Linked DNA regions of Oryzias latipes. The main gene of each other region encodes a partner of the protein of the gene in region 5 in a complex. Links are inferred from orthologs where the notes say so. Each region holds a gene or a part of one and is shown on either strand. Other genes may lie near its edges. The genes, in order: exosc2, exosc3, exosc6, exosc5, exosc8 and exosc4.

The links.
Region 1: exosc8 (region 5) and exosc2 share a complex: the UniProt entries of both Homo sapiens proteins name them as parts of the RNA exosome core complex. The link is inferred for Oryzias latipes from reciprocal best matches to the Homo sapiens genes EXOSC8 and EXOSC2.
Region 2: exosc8 (region 5) and exosc3 share a complex: the UniProt entries of both Homo sapiens proteins name them as parts of the RNA exosome core complex. The link is inferred for Oryzias latipes from reciprocal best matches to the Homo sapiens genes EXOSC8 and EXOSC3.
Region 3: exosc8 (region 5) and exosc6 share a complex: the UniProt entries of both Homo sapiens proteins name them as parts of the RNA exosome core complex. The link is inferred for Oryzias latipes from reciprocal best matches to the Homo sapiens genes EXOSC8 and EXOSC6.
Region 4: exosc8 (region 5) and exosc5 share a complex: the UniProt entries of both Homo sapiens proteins name them as parts of the RNA exosome core complex. The link is inferred for Oryzias latipes from reciprocal best matches to the Homo sapiens genes EXOSC8 and EXOSC5.
Region 6: exosc8 (region 5) and exosc4 share a complex: the UniProt entries of both Homo sapiens proteins name them as parts of the RNA exosome core complex. The link is inferred for Oryzias latipes from reciprocal best matches to the Homo sapiens genes EXOSC8 and EXOSC4.

Annotation. Positions count from the first base shown.
Region 1 is NC_019870.2:12,830,056-12,834,039, forward strand, and holds the start of exosc2 (exosome complex component RRP4), read right to left. Parts: upstream 2,801-3,984; 5' UTR 2,562-2,800; coding exon 2,440-2,561; intron 2,241-2,439; coding exon 2,139-2,240; intron 2,012-2,138; coding exon 1,966-2,011; intron 1,841-1,965; coding exon 1,751-1,840; intron 1,661-1,750; coding exon 1,595-1,660; intron 1,502-1,594; coding exon 1,433-1,501; intron 268-1,432; coding exon 91-267; intron 1-90. Other genes in the region: ric1 (RAB6A-GEF complex partner protein 1), read left to right, coding at 3,761-3,901. UniProt on the Homo sapiens protein: Non-catalytic component of the RNA exosome complex which has 3'->5' exoribonuclease activity and participates in a multitude of cellular RNA processing and degradation events.
Region 2 is NC_019868.2:3,163,742-3,167,678, reverse strand, and holds the start of exosc3 (exosome complex component RRP40), read right to left. Parts: upstream 2,801-3,937; 5' UTR 2,769-2,800; coding exon 2,526-2,768; intron 205-2,525; coding exon 55-204; intron 1-54. UniProt on the Homo sapiens protein: Non-catalytic component of the RNA exosome complex which has 3'->5' exoribonuclease activity and participates in a multitude of cellular RNA processing and degradation events.
Region 3 is NC_019864.2:25,018,398-25,021,681, forward strand, and holds exosc6 (exosome complex component MTR3), read right to left. Parts: upstream 2,097-3,284; 5' UTR 1,718-2,096; coding exon 1,440-1,717; intron 1,236-1,439; coding exon 695-1,235; 3' UTR 501-694; downstream 1-500. UniProt on the Homo sapiens protein: Non-catalytic component of the RNA exosome complex which has 3'->5' exoribonuclease activity and participates in a multitude of cellular RNA processing and degradation events.
Region 4 is NC_019873.2:26,312,798-26,316,942, reverse strand, and holds the start of exosc5 (exosome complex component RRP46), read left to right. Parts: upstream 1-1,345; 5' UTR 1,346-1,391; coding exon 1,392-1,488; intron 1,489-2,507; coding exon 2,508-2,621; intron 2,622-3,172; coding exon 3,173-3,294; intron 3,295-3,378; coding exon 3,379-3,519; intron 3,520-3,998; coding exon 3,999-4,088; intron 4,089-4,145. Other genes in the region: catenin alpha-1-like, read right to left, coding at 1-118. UniProt on the Homo sapiens protein: Non-catalytic component of the RNA exosome complex which has 3'->5' exoribonuclease activity and participates in a multitude of cellular RNA processing and degradation events.
Region 5 is NC_019872.2:10,272,857-10,276,817, reverse strand, and holds exosc8 (exosome complex component RRP43), read right to left. Parts: upstream 2,801-3,961; 5' UTR 2,746-2,800; coding exon 2,729-2,745; intron 2,459-2,728; coding exon 2,422-2,458; intron 2,043-2,421; coding exon 1,979-2,042; intron 1,891-1,978; coding exon 1,817-1,890; intron 1,629-1,816; coding exon 1,583-1,628; intron 1,203-1,582; coding exon 1,097-1,202; intron 1,001-1,096; coding exon 955-1,000; intron 883-954; coding exon 786-882; intron 641-785; coding exon 520-640; intron 445-519; coding exon 338-444; intron 252-337; coding exon 133-251; 3' UTR 37-132; downstream 1-36. Other genes in the region: alg5 (dolichyl-phosphate beta-glucosyltransferase), read left to right, coding at 3,731-3,796. UniProt on the Homo sapiens protein: Non-catalytic component of the RNA exosome complex which has 3'->5' exoribonuclease activity and participates in a multitude of cellular RNA processing and degradation events.
Region 6 is NC_019875.2:26,759,988-26,763,434, forward strand, and holds exosc4 (exosome complex component RRP41), read right to left. Parts: upstream 2,256-3,447; 5' UTR 2,192-2,255; coding exon 2,021-2,191; intron 1,266-2,020; coding exon 1,059-1,265; intron 974-1,058; coding exon 617-973; 3' UTR 501-616; downstream 1-500. UniProt on the Homo sapiens protein: Non-catalytic component of the RNA exosome complex which has 3'->5' exoribonuclease activity and participates in a multitude of cellular RNA processing and degradation events.

The DNA.
Region 1 (3,984 bases), on a different chromosome or scaffold from region 5:
GTTAAAATATTTTTAAAACAATTAACACTTTTTAGATGACACTTTTTGATCATTTTGAAACATAAAATATTTATAAACCTACAAAGTTACCTCAAGACTGGTGTAGAAACCTCCAGCTTCCTCCTCTTGTTGTCCCAGTGTGGGATACAACCACACAAAGCCGTTATTGCCAAGGATAACAGATGCACCGCATGGAAGATTATGGAAGTGACTTTTCTGCCTCTTGATCAGAGAAGGTGAAATTTGCACCAGCACTCCCTGACCCAGCTAACAAGAATACAGAGACCCAGAAAAGAAAAAAAATGATATACCGGTACCTATAGGCTACGTTCACACTGCAGGGCTTAATGCTCAATTCTGATTTTTTAGAAAAAATCCGATGTTCTTGCAAGGCTGTTCACATTTCCAATTAAATGCGAACTTTTGTGATTTCCTGTGTGACCGTGAAATGACCCAGAAGTGACCCGCATGCGCAGAAGAGTACTCAACGGGGAACGACATCACTCGTTGTTTGCGGAAGTAGCTAACGTTAGCAATGGATGTCAACTACAGTGTTGTCAACAGCGGAGCTCTTTTTGCAGTTTACATTTATTTTCAAGATGGAGCCAGCACAATTACAATCTTCTCATTTTAAGAAGGCATTGGAGCCAGGATCGTCTGTACCCACTGTGGTGGAATGGGGATGTGTATGTGCTGGGGCCGCGCGAGCACGTGTGTGTGTGTGTAAGAGAGAGGAGAGAGCACGTGCAGCGCAGCATTCCCTACTGCGCTGTGCGCATTCATGTTGTGTGTTACGGAGGAAGGACAACGATAATAAAAAAAGGCTGCTATTGACTCTTTATTAAACTGCTCTAGAGAATCTGAGGGTCCGAACGGGGAAATGAACGCCCAAAGGAGGATCCGCCTTCGGTCCCCCGCGCTTCTGACCACGGTCAGAAAGGGGAAAAAAAAGTAATTGCCAGGAAGGTTCAACCCCACGCTCGGCCATTTCGCTGGAATTTTTTTCAAAAAACCGCCCGGTTGCGATAAGAGCCCTCGAGTTTGGCCTGAATAGAGCTGTCACCCCAAATTTTAATCCAATCGGTGACCTTGCTTGCCTTCCAATGACTGGTCTCACCAGCATCGTCCGGCATGGTTGATGTTCATGTTCTTGTTCCCGCCTACTTCAACGCAGAATAATGACTTACGGGTCGGATACATGTGGCTTGGCCATTCAGACGGAGGTCGCATTTGAAAAGATCTGATCTGTGTCGCTCAGACTGTCATAAAAAGATCAGACACAGGTCGCATAGGGGCAGAAAAATTGGATTCAGCCTGCAGTGTGAACATGGCCAGAAACACAAATTTATTCAACATGTATAACAACAACAGGGAAACAGCTCTGTAAAATTTACCAAAAGGAGATATCAACATAGTAACACTGTGCACTTACTTTTCCATATTTTAAACTGCGAGTATGTAATGACAAGGCTCCATCTGAAAAAACAGACTGCACTTCTGCCTAAAAACAGTGAGAAAATACAGCAAAGTAGTCTTTAGTGACAAAAACTATGAGGGGGAAATGTTGGCAAAAAGACTAGAAAATCCTCTGTACACTTATGAGATCACCCTCCTGAAGATATTCTCTCATGGTCAGCTCATCTTCTGCTGATCTCCTCCTCTGTATAACAAAACAACAACAAAAAAGAGCATGCAGTTCAACTCATCCTGTAACGCTTCTCTCTCGTTAAACAACACAGTTCTGTCTCACCAGCTCTCCTCCAGGCAAGTTTACTGATGACAGCAAGAGGACAGAGTCCAGTCTGGAATTGGTTTCCACCTTCCAACGTTTCTGCTGCACCTGTATATAACCATCAAATCAAACAGATTGAAAAGATTATTAGCAAAAACAGATACAATGAATCCAACAACAAAAAAAATTGTTATCTCGTTTTGCCTTTTTAGAGAACAGTTGGAATAACTCACCTCTGTAATTCTGCCGACCACAACGTCTCCAACCTCGCCATTAAATCTAAAATGACGCACAAATGATCTTAAAGAATGTTTGCAAAAGTGGGGCTAGTCCGATCTGAATGGGTCAATCCACCAACCAATTCTATTGTTCATAAACATTGAAGATTTTTGTCCTTCACACTCACCTGGTCTTCAGTGGTCTGACACAGATGAGTTTGTCCACCCTCTGCACCTCTCCAGCAACTGAAGCTGTCAGCTTTTCTTCATCAACATAAGTGCCATGCCCCCTAGAAAACGACAAATTGTAGTTATGGTTTATTAAAATCATGTAAAGATGTAATTTCTTATCCTTCATCAGTATTCCATCAGATCAAAGACACATCTAAATAAGTTCTGGTGTGTTCTGAGTTTCTTTTTAGCATGTAGCTTACCGTACTACATCAGCGTGGTATCAAACACGTGTTCCAAAACGCAAGCAGAACCTACCTCATAAAACCTGTGTCCGAAGTGATGATGTCTCCGGGAACAACGAGATCCTTTCGGTCGAAAGCGGAAGCTGACAGAGACACCGTTTTCCTCACAGTCGGTAATCTCATATCAAGAGCCATGCTGTTACCGCAACTCTTCTGGTTATGGCTTCTTTCACACTCGTTTAAGTCAGATTTAAGTTTAAAAATGCAAAAAAAAATGGTGTACGTAGTTATTGAATCTTTGTTTTTGTTTTTAAATTAACAAATGATTACCCTATAAACTTGTAATAAATGCCAACCAAACAGCATATTATGCTAACACAAAACTTTCCTCCACTTGCTTCTTTGGCGTCTTAAAAGCGTGTTATAGCTACATTAGCACCTCCTTGTGGTATGGAGTTACTACTACAGTGTATCTTGTGCAGCACATCTTGAAATAATATCCATCCTCACAAATATTTATTTTTTATTCCAAATTAGAAAAAAATTCCGTTCTTTTTCATGCAGTTTGGCACCAAATTATTGTCCATTAATGTCACATTTGGTCTTCGATAAAAAGAAATCAGCTGAGTTCTGTTTCTTTTTTCGTATACTGTAACTTTATCATGTTGCTCACATTGCTATTTGCATGAGGTCATATTTATTTATTTAATTAAATATTTATTTATTTAATTATGAACAGTATGGGACTCCATATTTCTATTCTTTCTTTTTTTCATTAAAGAAATTAATGAAACTCCATGACAATACATTCTTTCTGGATGTCTTCTCACTTGACCACTAGGTGTCACCCTCGTGTCACGCAGCAGCCATTGTCACATAACAGAGTGGTGACGTTGGATGTCAACATTAAGCAAATTTCGTGCGGCTGACCAATCAGCGTTAAGATGGATAGACTCTTTGTAAAGATGGCGACAGTGAGGCTCAGTGGAGTAAAAACTGGACGCTTATCTCTTAATGAACACCACTGGTCCAGACAGCGTAACAACTGACAAAGCTCGGGGAGCAAAGCGGATTGGCCAGCATACTGGTACAGCGGGCACAATTTAGCGTTGCACGGTGTCGCGACGGGCCTCGCCGCTTTTGTTTTCGGGGACACCGCGCACCGCTCGCTAGCTTTAAGTTTGAAAATCCAATGCTAGCCCGGGGCTAGCCGTGGAGCTCAGTCGGCTGCTTTGGTATTTCTGTATGGAATCTGTGGATTAAACCTGCCCAGCGCCATCACCGGGCTCTTTAGTAGTGTTTTTGTCTCGACGAAAGCACTATGAGTCGCCCGTAGAGGCAACTACCGAGGATCTGGATTGCTGCGCTGCCTGCTCGAACTAAAGAGCGCCGTCATGTATTTTCTAACCGGTTGGCCCCGGAGGTTGCTTTGTCCGCTGAGGAGCGAAGAGGAGCCTTTCCAGATCCAGCCCAGCTCTCAGAGGTTTTACTTCGCCCTGGTGTCAGAAACCCAGATCAGCATCTGGTTCAGCCGGGTAAGTCGTGAAGTGAAGTGAACGCACGCGCTGCTCCAGCTGTCCCTGCACGAACACAATCAGGGGAGGTTCATTTAGTTTCT
Region 2 (3,937 bases), on a different chromosome or scaffold from region 5:
TCCTTGGAGTGACTGCACACAGCAGACTGCACACAGAGCCCCACCCACACTCACCTGGACGTTGGGTCGGTTTCGCTTGGTGGCTCCTTCAAACGCCAGGTAAGACAGAGACGCCAGCTCGCTGCCGCCAAAGTCCACCCTGAAGGTGTCTCCTGCTCGGGCCGTCACGATCCCGATCACGGTCTCCCCTTTAGTGGCGACATACTGAGGAGAACAAACCATTGACTATTCGAGAACTGGACTGAAGGACCCCTCCCTCCTCATGCTCCAAACAGGAAGAACCCGCTGGCTCCAAGAAGCCAAAATCCCATTGACATAACTTCTCACATTGAATGTGTGAAACATTTGACAGATTTTATGTAGCCTGCTTTCAAGTGATAGGGGTGTGACCTTCAAACAAGCTCACTCCTGATTGGCCACTATTTTTTATAAACCATTAGGTTTTCATCATCAGAACACAGTAGATTCATAAAGTCGTCATAAAATGTTCATATTTATTACCTTTCTATTTAGGGAAACGGGTGACGTCATATTGGCATCAGTGTTGGGAAAATGACTTCTAAAAAGTAACTGTTTACTTAGTGTTACAAAATTGTAATTAAATTACTTTACTCACCTATTTAGTACGGTAATTGCCTACCGGTTACTCCACTTTTTTTCCTCTCACATACAGATTCTCAAGGCAAAAAACAGTTTTCACAAACAAGATCCTCTTGTCATTCATATAACTTTATATTCAGAGAAATGACCTTGTGCAAATTTGAACCTGGCTCAAGACATAACCTGGTTTTATTAGAATTCAGACAACAATGTGAAAAAATACACAAAAAAGTTACAACACATGTGGTCTATAGGCCACTGCTCAAAGTGAGATGTGGAAACAAATCAGTTACGCCTATGATCACATCTGTCGAATCCACTCTTTTAAAAACACAAAGAATTATTTAATGCCTCCATGTTCATTTTCTCTGACTTAAGGTATTCCATGACAATGAGTTGTGCCTGTCTCTCTCTCTATACGTCTGGCGTTTGTGCAGTTCTGAGCAGCTGCAGGTCTACTGGACCAACACCACCCCAGCACCCACCTGCAGAGTGCATTGAGCGCCAACTCACGCTGACCAGAGACGCAGTCATGTGCAGCACAGAGAATAATTAAGTCAAAATGGGTGAAATAATATAGTAAACGCCAAGATCCGACTTTAGAGATGTTTCACTGCCAACCAACCCATCATCAGTACACGGGGCGGTTCTCTACTCTGCTGCTCACCTGCTGCTGCTCGGGGAGGACAAGCATCTCTGTTTGTTTCATCTTTGAGCCAGTAAGCCATTTGTATGGGTGACGTCACACTACGATTCTCCTAAGGCAGTGTTTTTCAACCAGTGTGCCGCGGCACACTAGTGTGCCGTGGGAGATGGTCAAGTGCGCCGTGGAGAAATTGCCCTCATTAACTGATCTAAAAACATTTTCCATCTCCAGGATTTCAGCTCTGTGTTCATCCAAACAGGCCCTGATAAAACACTGAGTAGTTAGGAATATAAAAGATCTTAAAATTACTTTTTCTTTGTGTTTATTTAATTCTATTAAAGAGATTTTGATAAAAATCACGGTACCGCGATTTAGCTGCAGCTCTAACTGTGTAAGGAAAAGTCCCGCCCCTTTAACTGTCTCCGCCAATCATTCTTGAAGGCTTAATCACATGTCATCAGTCTGACCAATCAGAAGTGCTTAAAGTCTTCACTTCCTTGTTCTTAATTCTGCTGATAAAGTCGCTCAGTTCTAACAAATATACCAGCTAAAGACGAGCTTTAGCTGGTGGTTCATCTCTTAGAAAAAAACAGCCGCAAATTCCTGCTTTTTCTGCCACAATTATCACAAAAATTCACGTGAGATTGCGGGGGGGGGGGGCGCTGTCGATCAATACAGACCATGAATTTCTGCTTTTTTTTTTTTTTTTGGATGATGGTGTGCCGCGGGATTTTTTTCAGGGTTAAAGTGTGCCGTGGCTCAAAAAAGGTTGAAAAACACTGTCCTAAGGATCAATGGAACGAACGCACGCGGACACATTTATTCACAACAAAGTACATTATTTAAGCAAACACAAGTTTGCAAAAATGAAACTTGTGTTTGCATAAATAATCTGGGTCTAAATTGAAAATACGCAGATCATGTGTGGATTTTTTTAAATTCTTGGTTAGTTGAGTGCATCGAATCAAAACCCATATCTCTGTATCAGTCCATATGTTTTAATTTGATAAATAATTAATTTAGTTTATTTTGATGTATTAGCTTGACGCGTATTTGGTTTTTATTTGATTATACTTTGTTATTTGTAACTGATATTTTTACTATTTGTTATATAAAGCACTTGAGGTGGATTTCATCAGGAAGTGCTATCAATAAAGTTGTGTTTGAATGCTGGTTGTGACCGGACCGCTTCACATTAATGCTCTAAACACGTCTCTGGACCGCTGAACGCAGTTTGTTGGGATCTCAGAACCTTTGGTTCGGACCGGTCCGCTCTTACCCGCTTCTGCTGGGAATCGATCCAGAAGGTGAGCGGCGGTTTGTGCCGCAGCACGCCGCTCTTCATCACCACCAGGCGGTCTCCGCTCCGCCGCAGCCCTGGTCCACACACCGCGCGCTCCGGCTTCGCGCTCTCCGACAGAGAGATCGTTTCCTCTGCACCAAAGCAGAACTCGTCCCCCGGAACCAGAACCTGTCCAACTTTCTCCTTCAGAACGGCGAACATGCCTCCTGTCGTGCTCATGGTCGTCTTCTTCTTTTTGTTGTTTATATCAGATCCTTACTTTGCGCCCCCTGGTGACCAGGAGGAACAATAGCGCTTTCTAAATTATAAGAATTTTCCTGTTTAAAGGACACACCTTTCAAAACGTTTTGGATAAATCCAGGTCTCACCAAATTTCCTCTAAAATAATCGTCTTTGAAAAAAGGTAAAATAATTTTCTACAGAAACAAAAAGTAGTATAAAAATGTCTCAATAGTGTAACACACAGACACACCCACACACACGTACACAACTCAAACGATTTAGGAGCACTAAAAAAGACATGCTATGCCTGAACAAATGAAATATTCTTTTGAAATGCTTCATTCTTTACATATTTGCATGTCCTGACAACACAATAAAATAAAAATAGTAATGGAAATTAAAACTATTCGGCTATGGATGTCTGGATGTGTGAACATTACATGCTGATCCAACTTCAATGTAATTTCTTTGAAACAAGTCAAAATGAGGCTCAGTAGTGGGCGTGGCCTCCACATGCCCATATGATTCCCCTGCAATGCCTGGGTACGCTTCTGATGAGGCAGCGGGTGGTCCTCCAAGGGATCTTCTCTGACGCCTGGACCAAAGCATCTGCTAACTCCTGGACAGTCTGGGGTGCAACCAGGAGTTAGTGGATGGACGAGACATGATGTCCCCGATGTGCTCAATTGCATTCAGGTCTGGAAAGTGTGCGGGCCAGTCCATGACATCATTAGCTTCGTCTGGCAGAAACTGCTGACACTCCAGCCACATGAGGCCTAGCACTGTCTTACTTTAGGAGGAACCCAGGGCCAATCGCACCAACATGCGGTCTCACAAGGGGTCAGAGAATCTCATCTCAGTACCTAATGACAGTCAGGCTACCTCTGGTGAGCACATGGAGGGCTGTGTGGCACTCCAAAGAAATGCCGCCCCAAACCATACCTGACCCATTGCCAAAGCGCTCATGTTGGACAATATTGCAGGCAGCAGAGCATTCTCCACCGCATCTCCAGACTGTGTCAACAGTGACTATGCCAAGCTTGGTGTTCTACAGCAAATGTCAAATGTCTCGCACGGTTTTGGGCTGTCAACACAACTCCCACCTGGCGACCTCATGGAGTCTGTTTCTACCATTCTGAGCAGACGTGCACATTTGTGGTCAACTG
Region 3 (3,284 bases), on a different chromosome or scaffold from region 5:
ACTATTTAGTAAAACAGGAAAAAATGGAATAAATATTACAAACTAGCGATGGGCAAATGATACTGAGGTAGTGGAGCTTGTGTCACTTTTCCTGAATTGGAGCAATTCAAAGCGTAGTATCAGATCCTGAATGAAAACACGGGTGACACATTACCATATAATATCCAAGCTGAGTTTCACTTTGGAGAACAAATAGGAGTTTGGTACTTTTTCTTTAAAGAAAATGTGCAAACAAATGCAATCTGACCTTCTGTATTATACATTTCTGTGATAAAATGCTAACCAAAATACAAAAAGACTAGGATTTTTTATTTTTTATTCTGTATTTTTATTTTTAAAATAACAAAACAGACATTTGCATTAAAACATTTTCTTTTTTTAAACCAGTCATTCTCAGTTTTTCATAATTTGTTTTCTTTTTTCTCCCCTATAGCATAAAGAGCAGGAAAAACTTTGTTTACCTTATTTAGATTTTTGGGGCATGGGGGGAAAAAAAAAAATCAACAAACTGACTCAAAGTTTTGTCCTGCAGGCAGACGGTGGAGAAATGAATAAATAGGATCAATCTGTTTCTTAGATCAGGGGGACGCTGGCGGATCCTTTCACCTCAGATCAAGAAACAAGGTGAAAAACTGTTTTGAATTTTAAAGTTCTTGTTGAAGACTCAGACAAAAAATAGTGTTGACTTTGCCTCTCAGCTTTCGGGTGGTGGGGGTTGCGCTCTGCGCACAGCCTTAACCAAAGCCTGCTGGATTACTGGGTACAGTTTGTAACATCCCTCAATGCAGGTCCGAATCCCTGCCGTCAGAGTCTCTTCAGCCATTTCTCCATCCGACTGCAGGCCGGAAACCTGGTTCAGGCTGGGGAGAAACGCCACGGTGAGCCCTCCTTGGTGTTCGCTGCTGCTCCAGTTGCTCTCTTCTGAGTAAGTGGGGTCGACCACGTAGGAGGAGCCATCCTGTCGGATGGAGCAGCCCAGCACCAGGTCGTACATTTCAATCCCCGCGTCAGCCAGTGCCAGGGAGGCGCACGTGATGGCGTGGGCCTGAACCGAACCGCTGTTCTCCAGGACCATGACGTTGACCTCAATCTGGGAGCGGGGGTATTTGTGAAGGCACAAGGCCGGCTGCAGACTCTCCTGCAGCATCAGGGAGAAGTTCTTGTCCTGGCTCCCCTGGATCCAGGAGCCCCTCTCCGGACAGGAAAACGGGGCGAAGCGCATGTCTGTGGTCAGTCTGGTTAAGCAGATGTGTTGATTTATCAACTTTTGACTTTAAATGTATTGTTTAAAAAATTAAACTGATTTTCTATTTTACTAATTCTAGCAGAATCCAATTACAGCCTTATCACATAGTTATTTTTTACTTTGTTATATCATTGAATGCAAACATATTTCTATTAGTCTTCCATTATAAAACTGGATGAAGACCACTACATACCGTCCACATTTCATGTCAGTCTCATCTTTCCGCTCCGTCTCTCTCGGGCCGTAAACGCTGCACAGCAGCTTGGTGTCTCCAGCTTCTATGTACGCGGAACCTTTAGCTTGACTCACCAGGCCGCAGCGCACAAACACCGGCCGGACGTCCACCTGGTCCCGCTGGCGGCCGTCCGCTCGGGCCCCATGCGACGGGGGAACCACAGAGGGTCTGCAGTCAAACAAAGACGGGCTTTGAGACACCTCGGGCCCGCGTACACGTTTGGTGTCCGTCGGCATGGCGATCTCTTCTCACGTGAACCGAATGAAGCGGGTGTTCAGGGATCGGTCCGTCAATAAATCTGTCCCCACAGCAACACGGTTCCGCTTGTTCCGATAGTGTTGTCATGTTTCATCATCTTTATTAATTTGAATTTATTCATAAAAAATAAATTAATTCTGATGGTATTATTTAATTTTCAACATATTTTATTTGTAACAGTAAATAAAATACACGCAATAGCTAAATCTTAGCAATTTAGTCAAAGCAAAATTCCGTTACGCCTTTTCTTTTAGCTAGAAATGCTTCGAATGTGTATAACTTTTGTTAGAAATTAATTATTCGTTGCACAACTAAAATAAATTGTACGTGCTAGTTGGCATCTGCGTCTTTTTCATTGCATCAACCACAGCAGAGGAGTTTGCACCACTAATGTGGCGGGCTCGGCTAAAACTGACAGCTTGGCTCGACCAATGGGATTGAGCGTTCGCCGGCTTCCTGCACATCTGAACCAATAGGTGGCGTCCGTGGGCGTGTCCATCGCCTCTGCACTTCCCTTCTGAGCGAGCAGCGTGGACTGAAGCGGTGTTTTGGGGAGCTGTGACCGGTTCGTTTTGTGATAACAGCATCTTATGTGAGTCAAACTACTTGCTTGGGTAAATGACACTCACTGTGTTGATTCGCCGGTTAGTTTTCCCCTCATAGTTGACTTCCAAATTCACTAGCAGGGACGGAAATTTCAGCGGTTGCTTTTGACTGGCTAGCATAGCAGTTTGCTAGCGTCAGGTCAGTTAGTGCATTTTGATTTGTCAGATTTAGAATGAAAGGTTTTCCAAATAGTTTTACTTACCTTTGCTTCGAAATATAGTATAGTTTTAGGGCCAGTTTGAAAGAAATGATGACTGTCAGTATAATGGCGGTTTACGACGCTGAAGTTGGCTTCCGATTCACAGCTTCCGATTCGCGAAGGCACAAAAGAAACATTCCGCTGCATTTTTCGCATTAAGATCACCCAAAACCGGGTCCTGTTCAAAAACCGCTGGACCTGGACTGCTCAAACCTGGATTAAATTATACATTAGATACTAAAGAACACATTAAATATAGTTTCTGATTTGTGAAACCTTCCTTTGATTTGTGAAAATCTGAAATAGATTGATGTTTATCGCATTTTACGCACTGAGTCCACCTTAGACCAGGTCCTGTTCAAAAACCGCAGGACCTGGACTGCTCAAACCTGGATTAAATAATAATTTAGATAGTAAAGAACACGTTAAACCCAGTTTCTGATTTGTGAAACCTTCCTCTGATTTGTGAAAATGTGAAATAGGTTGATTTTTTATCCCATTTTACGCACTGAGTCCACCTTAGACCAGGTCCACTGGACTCAGTGCGTAAAATGCGATAAAAATCAACCTATTTGAGATTTTCACAAATCAGAGGAAGGTTTCACAAATCTGAAACGGTGTTTAATGTGTTCTTTAGTATCTAATGTATAATTTAATCCAGGTTTGAGCAGTCCAGGTCCAGCGGCTTTTGAACAGGACCCGGTTTTAGGGTGGTCTTAGTGCGAAAACTGCAGCGGAAT
Region 4 (4,145 bases), on a different chromosome or scaffold from region 5:
CTGGCTCATGTTCACTGTCGCACAGCAGCACGAGGAGACAAAGGTGACTGGAGATTGGGGCAACCACTTTCTCCACTGCTGCAGTTTTGATAAAACTTTGATCCAGACATGAAGGCATAGTTTCATTTATCGGTGAATTCTTCCCTCTGCGAAAGAATTAGCTGTGCTGCATGTATTATTTATCATGCTACACAAAGTGCCATATGGCAGTTCCCCATAGCAACTGTTGTCACAACGTTATTTAGAATTAATAACATATAAATCATCATTTCTGACATTATTCATTGATTATTGACTGCAGTGGTGGTTCTGCACTAACTTACTCCCAGGGAGAGTAACTCCCCAGTGCAATTTGACGTTCTTTTGTGTTCCCTATTTTTATTTGGCCATTTTACACAAAAGATGCGTGAATTTTGTGGGCTCGTATTACGGGGGTGTCAAACTCACTCACACAGGGGGCCTAAACAGAAAACATGCTTTAAGTTGGGGGCCCAACAACATTTATTTACCAAACTAAAGCTACACTTTAAAAAACAAAACAAAAAATACTTTTAAACCTTTATAACAGAGGTTTTTTAACATAAAAATGAATAAAAACAGACAGTATTGTTAATCCAGAATAAATCAAGTTAAACCGTTAATAACGGTGCTCTCCATAAAAATATATTCAGTCAAAATTATACAAATATGAACATGCTGCAGAACAAAATAAACAAAGTCTGGAAATATTTAATTCAAATTATTCCGTTTTATTTGCTGTTTTGTCAAATTTTTTGTCAGCAAGTAAGTTCATTTCTGCTTGCTGTGTGACGTGCTGTGTGTGTCTTTGTGAAACGTATCAAAGGGATTTGATTTTTTTTTAAACTGCTATTATGAAAACCATTTATAGGTCTTATAAAACATTAAAAACTAAATCATATAACTCCTCACTGGAATTAATCAAAGTTTATTTTGGCATTTTCCTAATTTTGTGCAACACCAACAGTAAAAATTCTCCAAAAAGCCTTAATTCATTCATTAACAAATGATCCATTGTTTATGTCTAATCTCAAAAAGTGCAGCTGTTTTACTGCCTGCATTACCTGCTGTCTTTATGTCAAATACTGACACCAATTAAATGACAGGCATACGTAAAAAATACATTTTATATGGAAAATAAAGACACGTAATAAAAGTGTCCAACAACAACAATAGCAATAATCATAATAATAATAATAATAATGTTAATAATATATTTTTTAAACTACTTACTTTGTTGTTGACTTTCTGACTGTTTTTTATTGAACACAAAATTTAAAACACAACATTGGTTTTGATGCAGAGCCCCTTCGCGTCGGTAAATAGATGACGTCATCGTCCAGCGACGCATCCCCTTCCGTGTTGGCAACGTGATGGAGGTTTCTGCTCCTTCAAATGTTTCTCTCCGAGAGTTTGGCTGCGAGCAGAGTTTACTTTCTCGGCCGGATGGATCTGCGTCTTTCGTTCAAGGTAACAGCTGAAGGAAAATGTTGACTTTTTTCTTTAAGAATATGAGTACAACTCCCGATTCCGCCCAAAGAATTATGGACAAACTTATTATTTCAGAGAAATAATTTGACTCTCGACTGCTGGCAAACGATCTTTAAATGAGTTTTAAGCTAAGAATGTCCTAAAGTACTTTTTGTATTTGCTTTATTTTGGTTTTGCATTAGTTTTAGCTCTTGGTAAATGTTGTAAAATTGTTAATATTCAAGAACAAAAATGAGCAGCTAAATAATAACTAAATATTTTTACGAACTTATCTTTTCACATTTAGTTTTTTGTAATCAAAAGTCAACTGCTGTTAAACCATTAAGAAGCCAAACATTTGAAAAATAATTTCTAGTCATTTTTCTATAAATAAAGATGTTGAAATGTTGGATTCATCTGTTTTACTTTCTGTGTTCAGATCAGCTCTCTCAAATTTAAATATTTATTTCTTGGTTTACTCATCCTCTTTTTTTCATTCCCCAAATCATCTTTGAATATTTGTATCCTAGTGGTCATTGTGAACTGTTTACATCGCCGGCATCGGACTGTATAGTCTGGGGTCTTGGAGCAACATTTTTTCAAAGATTTTCTAATAATTTCCCTATAAAAGTTTTTTTTTGGGGTAATGCTTTAAATTATTTTTTTAATATGACCCCATCTTCTTTTTTATTCTTTTTTTTCAAGATATTGTTTAATATAGTGTATGGGATAGGCTCCAGCAGGCCTGTGACCCTGAAAGAGACAAAACGGGTTTAGAAGATGAATGAATTATATACTATGTAATAATTCTACAGTAAACCTGAAACTGAACCAAAACCACCACTCTAAGCAGCAGATTTGGTCATGCATTTACTGCAAGATTTACACTGTTTTTATGTTTTATAGCCAAGATCAAAGTTTACAGACACAATAAGAATGTAGAAATCACATCATTGTTTCAGGTTTGTCCTCTATTTTAATAGAACTTTGATCTTTGTGTTGTTTTTGTGTCTCTGGAGGGGACACGAGTGTGATGGCTGGAGTTTATGGACCTGCTGAAGTAAAGGTCAGTAAGGAGATCTACGACCGAGCAACTCTGGAGGTGCTGGTTCAGCCCAAAGTTGGTCTGCCGAGTAAGTTCTGCTGCATGTCCTGGAAAAGTCAGATGCTGTCACGTGTGTCTGGTTTTTCTGAAACCAATTCAATCCTTTTTGTTTTTAATCTGTTGTAGAAAAAAAGCAAAAACAACTACTAATCCTTGTTTTTGTTGCTCTAAAATGAATAAATCCAGCTTTAAAGAAGGAAGTCTGTTAAATGTAGAGACAATTATAATCACTTTCAATGGATTCAAATGTTTATATGCAAATATCCTCTTAAGCCTGGTTTCATTCATGTCTTTGGGTTGAATGGAAATCACAGATGCTGTTTTATTTCTACTGAATCACAGTAAAAAGATGAACTTCCTCAGGTCTCATGTGGGTTTTAGTTTCATCTGAAGGCTCACTCGTATCTCAACAGTTCTGCAATTTATAAATAAGCATTAAGACAAAGGTCCGATCAAGGTATTAAAGTCTTTCTTTAGGAATGTTTTGTGCAACTGATTTATAGGATTACGCCATAAGGGGGAGCCAGTGGATTCCTTATCAGCTTTGAACTCATATCCCATCATGCCTCTGTTTTCCAGGTGTGAGGGAGCGCTCGCAGGAGCAGTGTGTGCGTGAAACCTGCGAGGAGGCGCTGCTGCTCACCCTCCACCCTCGATCTTCGCTCACGCTGGTCCTCCAGGTGCTGCACGACGACGGCTCTGTATCCTTTACTAAACCCGACCTCTGAACCCGCGGGGGGCGTGGCCTAGCACCTGCCGAGTCGTCTTCCTTACCTGCTCTGCAGCTCCTGTCCTGCTGCCTGAATGCAGCCTGCATGGCCCTCATGGACGCAGGTCTGCCGATGAGCTGCCTCTTCTGCGGCGTGACCTGCGCCATCAGCGCATACGGGCAGATCATCACTGACCCCACCTCAGCTCAGGAAAAGGTCAACCAAAGATGCTGACACTAACCTGAAAATCTTCATTTTTGCTGCTTTGAATGTAGAAATATAATCAGAAAGCAAGTTTAACAAAAAGTTCTCAATTTATGGTTTAATTTTCATGAAAAAAAGTCACATTTCATAGAATCCCTAAAACATGGATGTCGGTTTTCATCAGATCACACCCCTGACCTAACTTTACTGGTGAAACAAAAATCCAGCTGTGTAGTTTAGATCCAGATTCCAGCTCAGGGGAGGATAAACAAATTTAAAGGCTAATAAAAATTCTAACTTTGCTAAAAAAAAATGGGTTCATTTTCCACCAAAACTATTTTTTTTTTATTTCATAAAAATGCAGTTTTTCTTTAGTGTGTCACCTTCAGTTCATCCTTTTGTCTCAGTGTTTCAGTTCTAAAACAGTTTGCCTTTAAAATTGGTTGTCTGCCCGTCTGGCACTAAAGTCCTATTTTAATTTCTTTTCAAAGGAGAGTCGAGCTTTGATGACTTTTGCCATCGACAGTAAAGAACGTAAAGTAATGATGTCATCCACCAAAGGATCCTTTTCCGTTCATGAGGTCCGTCCAGCCGTTTTTCCATCATCTTCCGCTAAGCTCTCATTTCAATCCTCTCAG
Region 5 (3,961 bases):
AGGTTTCTGAATATTGAGAAATAATTTTTTAAGCAGTCTTTGTCAGCAGTTTTATTGTTATTAAAAAAAAAAGAACATATATATTGACAGTGAAAATACAGCTTTTAGATAAAAGTCTTGGTCTGGGTGTCTTTATTGTGCTGCCTTCACGCTGTTTAGAACTTTCTCGATGAGTTTCTGGATCTCTCTTTGTCGTGCTGTTGCTCGGTTGATGCAAGTTTGGAGCTTTTCTGCTGACAGGGACGTCCCACCTGAGGCGCAAAGAACCGGGTTTCAGCTCCGTATGATTGGAGTTATTGTGTTGATCGCCGGAAGCGCACTGCACGGCCTGTCTGACCTGGTTTGTGTAGAGAGCAGAGTCGTTCCTCCTCATCTGTGACCACGCTGAGCCGCGATGTGGACAGACTCTCCTCATCAGCGGTGGGATCTACAATCAGGATGGAGCTGCACAAAGAGCACGCTTGGTTTGTACACATGCTTTCAACAAACCCAGAAAATGCAACAATATCTAAAACGTACTCCTGGAAGATACAAAACGAGGTGCCGACTGGATGTTTGTGAACCGGCAGCTCGTGTCGCTCTTTCAAATCTATCTCTGGTTTGCATGTCGCTTTGTTGACGGTGACCTTTGGGAGACGAGCTGTGGGAAGTGAAAAATGCAAAATCAGCCTGTTGATAGACTCCTTTCGGGGCAATTTTCAATTTTAAAACACGGATTAGTTGGTTAAAATGTACAGAATAACTTTAATTATTTTTTTTTTTTTTTTACTGAAACAATGACGTACTGTTCTTCAGTGCAGCCAGCAGAGCAATGATGCACGCATCCAGAATGTTTCCATCATAATCCAGACACATGATGTCACAGTACAGCACCCAGCAAAGCTGCAAAGAGGATAAATAGACTCACCGCTAGTGAACCAACAGTGAAAACAAACGGCATCAGTCTGGATTTACCTTTCCTCTGTCGATGCACAAGTCCTCTGGTTTGATTATTTCAGAGCTGCAAAGGTGGATGGAAGTTGGTGAAAACCATTGGGAGAAATGCAGATAAACTGATGAGAGTAAAGAGATTGTAGTGTTTTTAATTCTGACAAACCTTTCGATGACATCAGCGATAAACTGGCTGGAAGCTTGGGCCTGTTCTCCTGGCGGGCCTGGCCGAAATCGCGAGGAACAGAGGGGTGGTAGGTCTACATTGGGGACTATAAATAACAGGAAAAGTCCAATGATTGGGATTATTTTTCCACTTAAAAACTTGTGCTTTTCAGTGACAACCCTTGAAGCTAAAAATAGAACAAACTCGTATCCATCATGGATAATCCTGAGCATCCTCTGCCTGCCGTACTGGATGGACAGTTGAGTGCCTTTCCAAGTGCTGCTACGATGACTGCTAAAGGAGCTCATTCCTGTTCCACGACATAGGACTGTTTAACTCATCTTTGTGCCAGAGATACGCTGCATTCATCATTGATTTTTGATAGTTGCTTCTCTGTACAAGCTAAGGTCTGCACACTACTGCTACAAATTTAACAAGTTGGCATCGATAAAGTATCTTTAACTATTTTTATCTATAAAAACTTACCAATATATCCTTTACCAGGAGCTTCCACTGTAGGGTTTGCCAATTCCTGCAGAATAGATCAATGTATGACACAGGAAACAACTTGCTAAATGTACAAACACTGAAAGAAGTGGTGGGGGGTTAAGAAATATTCACATAGATCTGTTTTATTTTTTAACTGTACACCTTTTAAAACAAAGGCATCTGGAATAAATTATTAAGAGTGAGTTTCAGTGTAATAACATGTTAACACACAGCTTTGATGCCACAGATGACTGTTGTGCTTCCCAGCTTCACCAATGCAGAGCCGTCTGCCGTGGATATGGACCCTGAACACAAACCCAAAAGAGAAAAGTGCTCAATGATTGTTGTTTGCTTGTATCATAAACACTGCAACTTTGTGGTGCTTCAATTCACCTATATTCAATGTCGTGGTTCTGAATTCAGACAGCTCGCGTCCATCTGGTCGACAGTTCTCTTTCTATGGGGAAAATAAATAAAGTTTTAGATTCAAATTGATATGAGTGTAACATTACAGCGTTACAGTAAAGTTGAAATATTAATTTCTGGAAAGTTCTTAATTCATAACAGCAGATTTTTAAAAAGCAAACCATTTAATACATTTCATTAAGAGATTTGTTTATGTTTCAACTCCCTGAAATTAATGAAAAACAAAAACGCAATAAAACTGTCCATTTTTATTGAAGATCACATGTTGTATGGCAATCCCTAGTATTGTGAACTACAATTTTAACGTTTTTTTCCTTTTTATTTCTTTCTGTTGTAGTTATGTGAATGTGTGTGTGTGCCATATTTTGACAATCTAATAAAAAAATACATAAATAAAAAATTGGACAAACCAGAAAGCTCATATGATATTCCAGAGGTTCAGCGGTCCTAAACAGTCATGAGGGAAGACAGAAAAGGTAAATGCATGTACAAAATCACGTACGTTTAGTGTTATGTTGATAAAATAAAAAATAAATTCTTAGCGGCAATAAATAGAAACCCAATTTACTAACGGACATAACCTAGACTTTGTGATTTCTCCACTTTGATTTAAAGTACAGCAAATAATTCATTTTCTTTATGTAAAGTTAAAAAGTTAATTTAAACGAAAAAAACGCCGTAAATTACATAAAACCTGAACAACTTTCAGATACTGACTTGAATCCAGCCGCCATGATGTTTTGGTACAACACGTGGGTTTGTGCTACGGCAGCCGCAATGGGGAAAAAACCTCGTCCATGCTGTGCTGAACCTGAACACTTTTTTCTTCTTCTTCTTTTAATTTAGGGACGATAAAGATCCGCTTTTTACTGTATTATTTTTTTGGCGTACCCAAATCCAATTTCCAAAAATATAAGTAACTAATAAAGAAAGTGCTACTTTAAGCTTTTAATAATTTACCATTCATGTTTTATTGTTTTTTGTTTTTTTTCTTCCAGATTTTCCTTCAAGTTTTAAACTGTTCTCGTATTTGGGGATTTATTTATTTCATTACTACTGTCTTGTTGATTTTGTGTCATCTTAAAAAGATATTAATATAAATATTATTTCTATTATATTCATTTTGTTAACACCTGTATTAATTTGGTTTTAAACTACATTAAACCATAAAGAAATGATAAAACTGCATTAACCCTTTTTTACAGGCTTGACAATTTTTAATCTAATTATTTTTCTTTTTCAGTTTTTAGTTATAGTTGTTGGTTAGTCTTTTCTTTTTTTGTCTTTCAGACTTTGACATTGCTGCTTCAAACGTTAGGGTTAGCAATGATCATAAAATATATGCATGAAAAACAAAACCTGTTGTTTGGTTGTTCAAACAAACAAACTAAAAACCTGCTAGTGTCAGTACCACCCCACGCCTGTAAGTGGCAGTATGCATTTCTCGCAGCCTGTCATGTGGAGTTCTGCTTCAAACTGATGATGTGTCGAGGAGTAAAATTTACTTCCGTGTTGCTTTTGTGTACAGCTCTGATTGGAAGTGGAGCTTGAAAGCGTTATGGGCTCATAGAGATTCAGTGTTTATATTTCATATATTTTCGTTTACACCTTTGTTATAAGTTAGAGGGTTGGGATACGGAACGGGACAAAGAAGAAAAGCTAGCTACAGCCAGCCAGGTGTAGGTGTTAGTTAGGAGCTGTAGGGCGACTTATGGAAACATGATGGACTTTATCTGTGAAATTATTCAAGTTCTCGTCGCATTAGCGGCTCTTGGTTTCATTGTGGTAAGTGTATGGATAGTTTTAACATTGTTAGTAATGTAACTAACTTCTTAGCACGTGTAAGATAGCGATTTTCACATGTATGTACTAGTACTCCATGGTTTCTGTGTGTGTGTGTGTGGGTGTGTGTGTATGTATGCATGATGGCTGCATTTTCTTTTATTTAAA
Region 6 (3,447 bases), on a different chromosome or scaffold from region 5:
CTTTAAAAAGTAAGTTACATTAATACCAATTTTGTTTCAGCAGGTAAAGAAAATGATAGATTATTCAGCCTCAACGGACTGAAACTCTTACAAAACATGTATTGTATTGTGACATAAAAATTACTTTTACAACAAACAAAAGCAAAAGCAGAATAGCCTGTCTGCAAAACAAATCAAAGAAAATTAATCTAAAAAAAAAAGACTAAACACATGAACAGAGCATTTCATTCAGGAATAAAAAGTATTGTTTTGGTGAAAATTTGTAAGATATCAACACAGCTAAATAAATTGGATATAAGAATTATCTAATTTTTCACAAATTGTTTACTCTTACGGATGTGTGGTTTAAAATAAAGGTTCTTATTGTATCAGTCTGAAAACAAAGCTTTATTATCTGTTTATATATAAAATGCTGATGTTGCTGTTTCAGTTGATCACATTGATTTTTGCATCAAAAACAGGTCAGTTTTCAGCTAATAAAACAAATGCAAATACAAAGAAACGATATACATTCACATTTATTCTTTATGCACAAATATACTTAATAAAATGTTAAGAATGACGACAAAATAAGTGTTGATCCCAGGAAACCATTTGTTTACTCTTTCCTTCACCATTATTCTCTGAGCGTAGAACCTTCTTGGAGATGTTGCCTGACCACCTGGTCCAGGACTTTGCTCACACCTTTACAAGCGGTCATTGCCGCCTCAATCAGAGTGTCGAGGTGATCCTGATGCAGTCTGGCATCCATCTGGACCAGAGCGATCTGCCCTCCGCGGGGCAGAAGCGCCAAAGCCAGAGAGCTCACTCCTCCGCTCTCCTCTGCGTAGCAAAGATCGGCAAGAGAGGTTTCATCCACGAAGCCCACTGTGCAGGCGCACACATAGTCCCTCATCGGTATCCCTGCGTCGATCACTGCCAGTGTGGCGGCGTTCACACAAACGCTGTAGTTCCCCCCGTCGGACTGAAGAATCTTGAATGATGAAAACGTTCTTAAAACAATGACGAAAACAGATGCTATGAAGTAGAGCGCAGTATACTATAAATCTAAGGCCAACCTTGACATAGATGTCTATCTGGGAGCGTGGGTAGAGCTGGGTCAGCACGGCAGCTTCAAACGTTTGCTTGAGGTGAAGGCTCATTTCTGTGGACTTGCGGTCTCCGTGCGGTCTCCTCTTCCTCTCCGCCGTGCTGAAGGTGGCCATGCTGTACTGGCAGTTGATAATGGCTCTGTCATGAAGAGCCCGACTACGAGCACCTCGAATCTGAATGGGAAACAGGAAGTAAGCATAGGAGAACCATAAAAAAGGTCTGACATTTTTCACAGGGCGGCATACATCTGTCCTTTGAGTAAAACAGCTTTTTAATCCATCATCAGAGGTAAACCAGACAATAAAAACGCCAGACATGGGAGAGTTTGAGGTCAACGGCACAGATGAGCAAAAACAACATCTCAGGTTTTCCATCAGAAATATCGATGTTCTACAAGATTTAGGAAAGACTTTCAGGACAGAAAAGATAACCGTGAAACATTTTGGGTGATGTGCCTCGCATCACTCTAGTGTAAAACATTGCACAAACAGTCAAACATGGTGGTAATGGTGTCATGGTAAGGGGCTGTTATATTTGGGGCTTGGAATACTTTTGGTAAATGAATAAATTAACCAACAAATCCTCAAATTAACTTGGATTTCTCAGCAAGTCAAAGATTCAAAAGCAGTAAGTTTACCTCAGAATAGCATAACAAGTTCAAAAACTCTTGAATGCAGTTGTTAGTAAGTACTGTGTGACCGAGCCAGATAAGTAAACATTTTGTGTTACTGATACAATAAAATGCTTTGAAGGAAACGTATTATACTAAAATCATTACATTAATGTAAAATATCCCTTTAAATCTGACACATTACATAGAAATATCTTAATCCTTCATTAAACGCAGTTTGCACCGTTTCTTTGGCTGCCATGAACAGACTGGTGGTGTTGTTTTTACGTCACTTCTCCACGCGCGCGCGCCACTCACTTCATGCGGGCCGTAAACCACCGCCAGAGCTTTGGTGTTTCCTTGCTCCAGATACGCGGAACCGTCGGCCTGAGCGAACACCCCCATGCGGGCCTGGACTTTGCGCAGCTCGGTAGCTTTTCTTCCATCCAACCGGTATCCTTGATCAGACAGCAGCTCCAGACCCGCCATTTTCCCTAGCTTAACTACACGACAACACACGTGTCTACTGATGTACTACATTAACCATCATCCTCTTCGAGCAGTTACAGCAACGTCGGAAGAAAGTGTCGCAAAAAAGATTTCCATATTTATTTTACTTAGATGGTTTAGTAACAACTTCTTACTGGAAAAGTAGCCTAACGAAACATTTAGAAAGCCTTTTTTCTTATTTTATATTATTTTTAAATCTAACTGATACGTCAGAACAAAAGAAGTAGATAAATGCGGAACTACTAGTACGCGAGTCAAAACTAATTAATAAAATAAATTAAAATCAGGAGCTGAGAAATTACACACGGCATGCAGTTTTTACATTTAAGAATTCTGACTTTAATCTCACGACTCCGATTTTTAATTTAAAATTACAAGATAAAATAAGACTTTAAGCATTTTAAGTTTTAGGAATTCAGATTTATAAATATTTTCAACACAATAAACACTTCATTTAATGTCAGAGTATTGACATAATCTGATAAAGATTAATCATGATTTTAATAACTATTGTTTTTTCTTGGGAATGTCAATTTTAAAATACTGTCTTTAAATATAGAATTTTGATATTAGAGTACAGCAACATTTTCTGAAATTACTATAAGAATTCTTTAAAGGACACCTGCAGATTTTCTCATTTTCTTTTATTTTATTAATTTTTGCCCCTGACATCTTGACAAGTTTTACAGGCGCTGCAGTTTGTTTTATCTTCTGTCTGAAATCAGAACCCAAGTCAAAGTATATTTATTTTTCCAAAACATCTTGGTTTTCAAATTTTAAAAAGTAAATCCAGTGTTAATCTTTTTAAATAAAATGTTTTAGCATTTTTGTAAATTATACAGAAGATATATTTTCATTTCTGATGTTAAAAAGGATTCAATTCTATTGTCATTTATTTTTCTAGTTTAATTTTAATATTTTTGAGCGCCAATCGTTCGTGATCATTTTAAATCAGATCAACATCTTTCACTTTTTCATATTTAAAAAAAAATTTGTGTTAAAGCATTTGATAATTTACAAATATGAAGTAGACTTACCTTGTAATGCCATATTTAAAATAAGTTTTTTGTGTGTTTTTAAATTGATTACAGAGTAAAGCTTTTCACCTTTTAAAACGTGTTTAAATTGACTACATTTTGGCCTGCTTTGTTAATATTTCAGTCACACAAACTGCCTGCCAGCATTTCACTTTAAAGCTTTTATCAGATCTCAGACGACATTCCAGCCTCATCTTC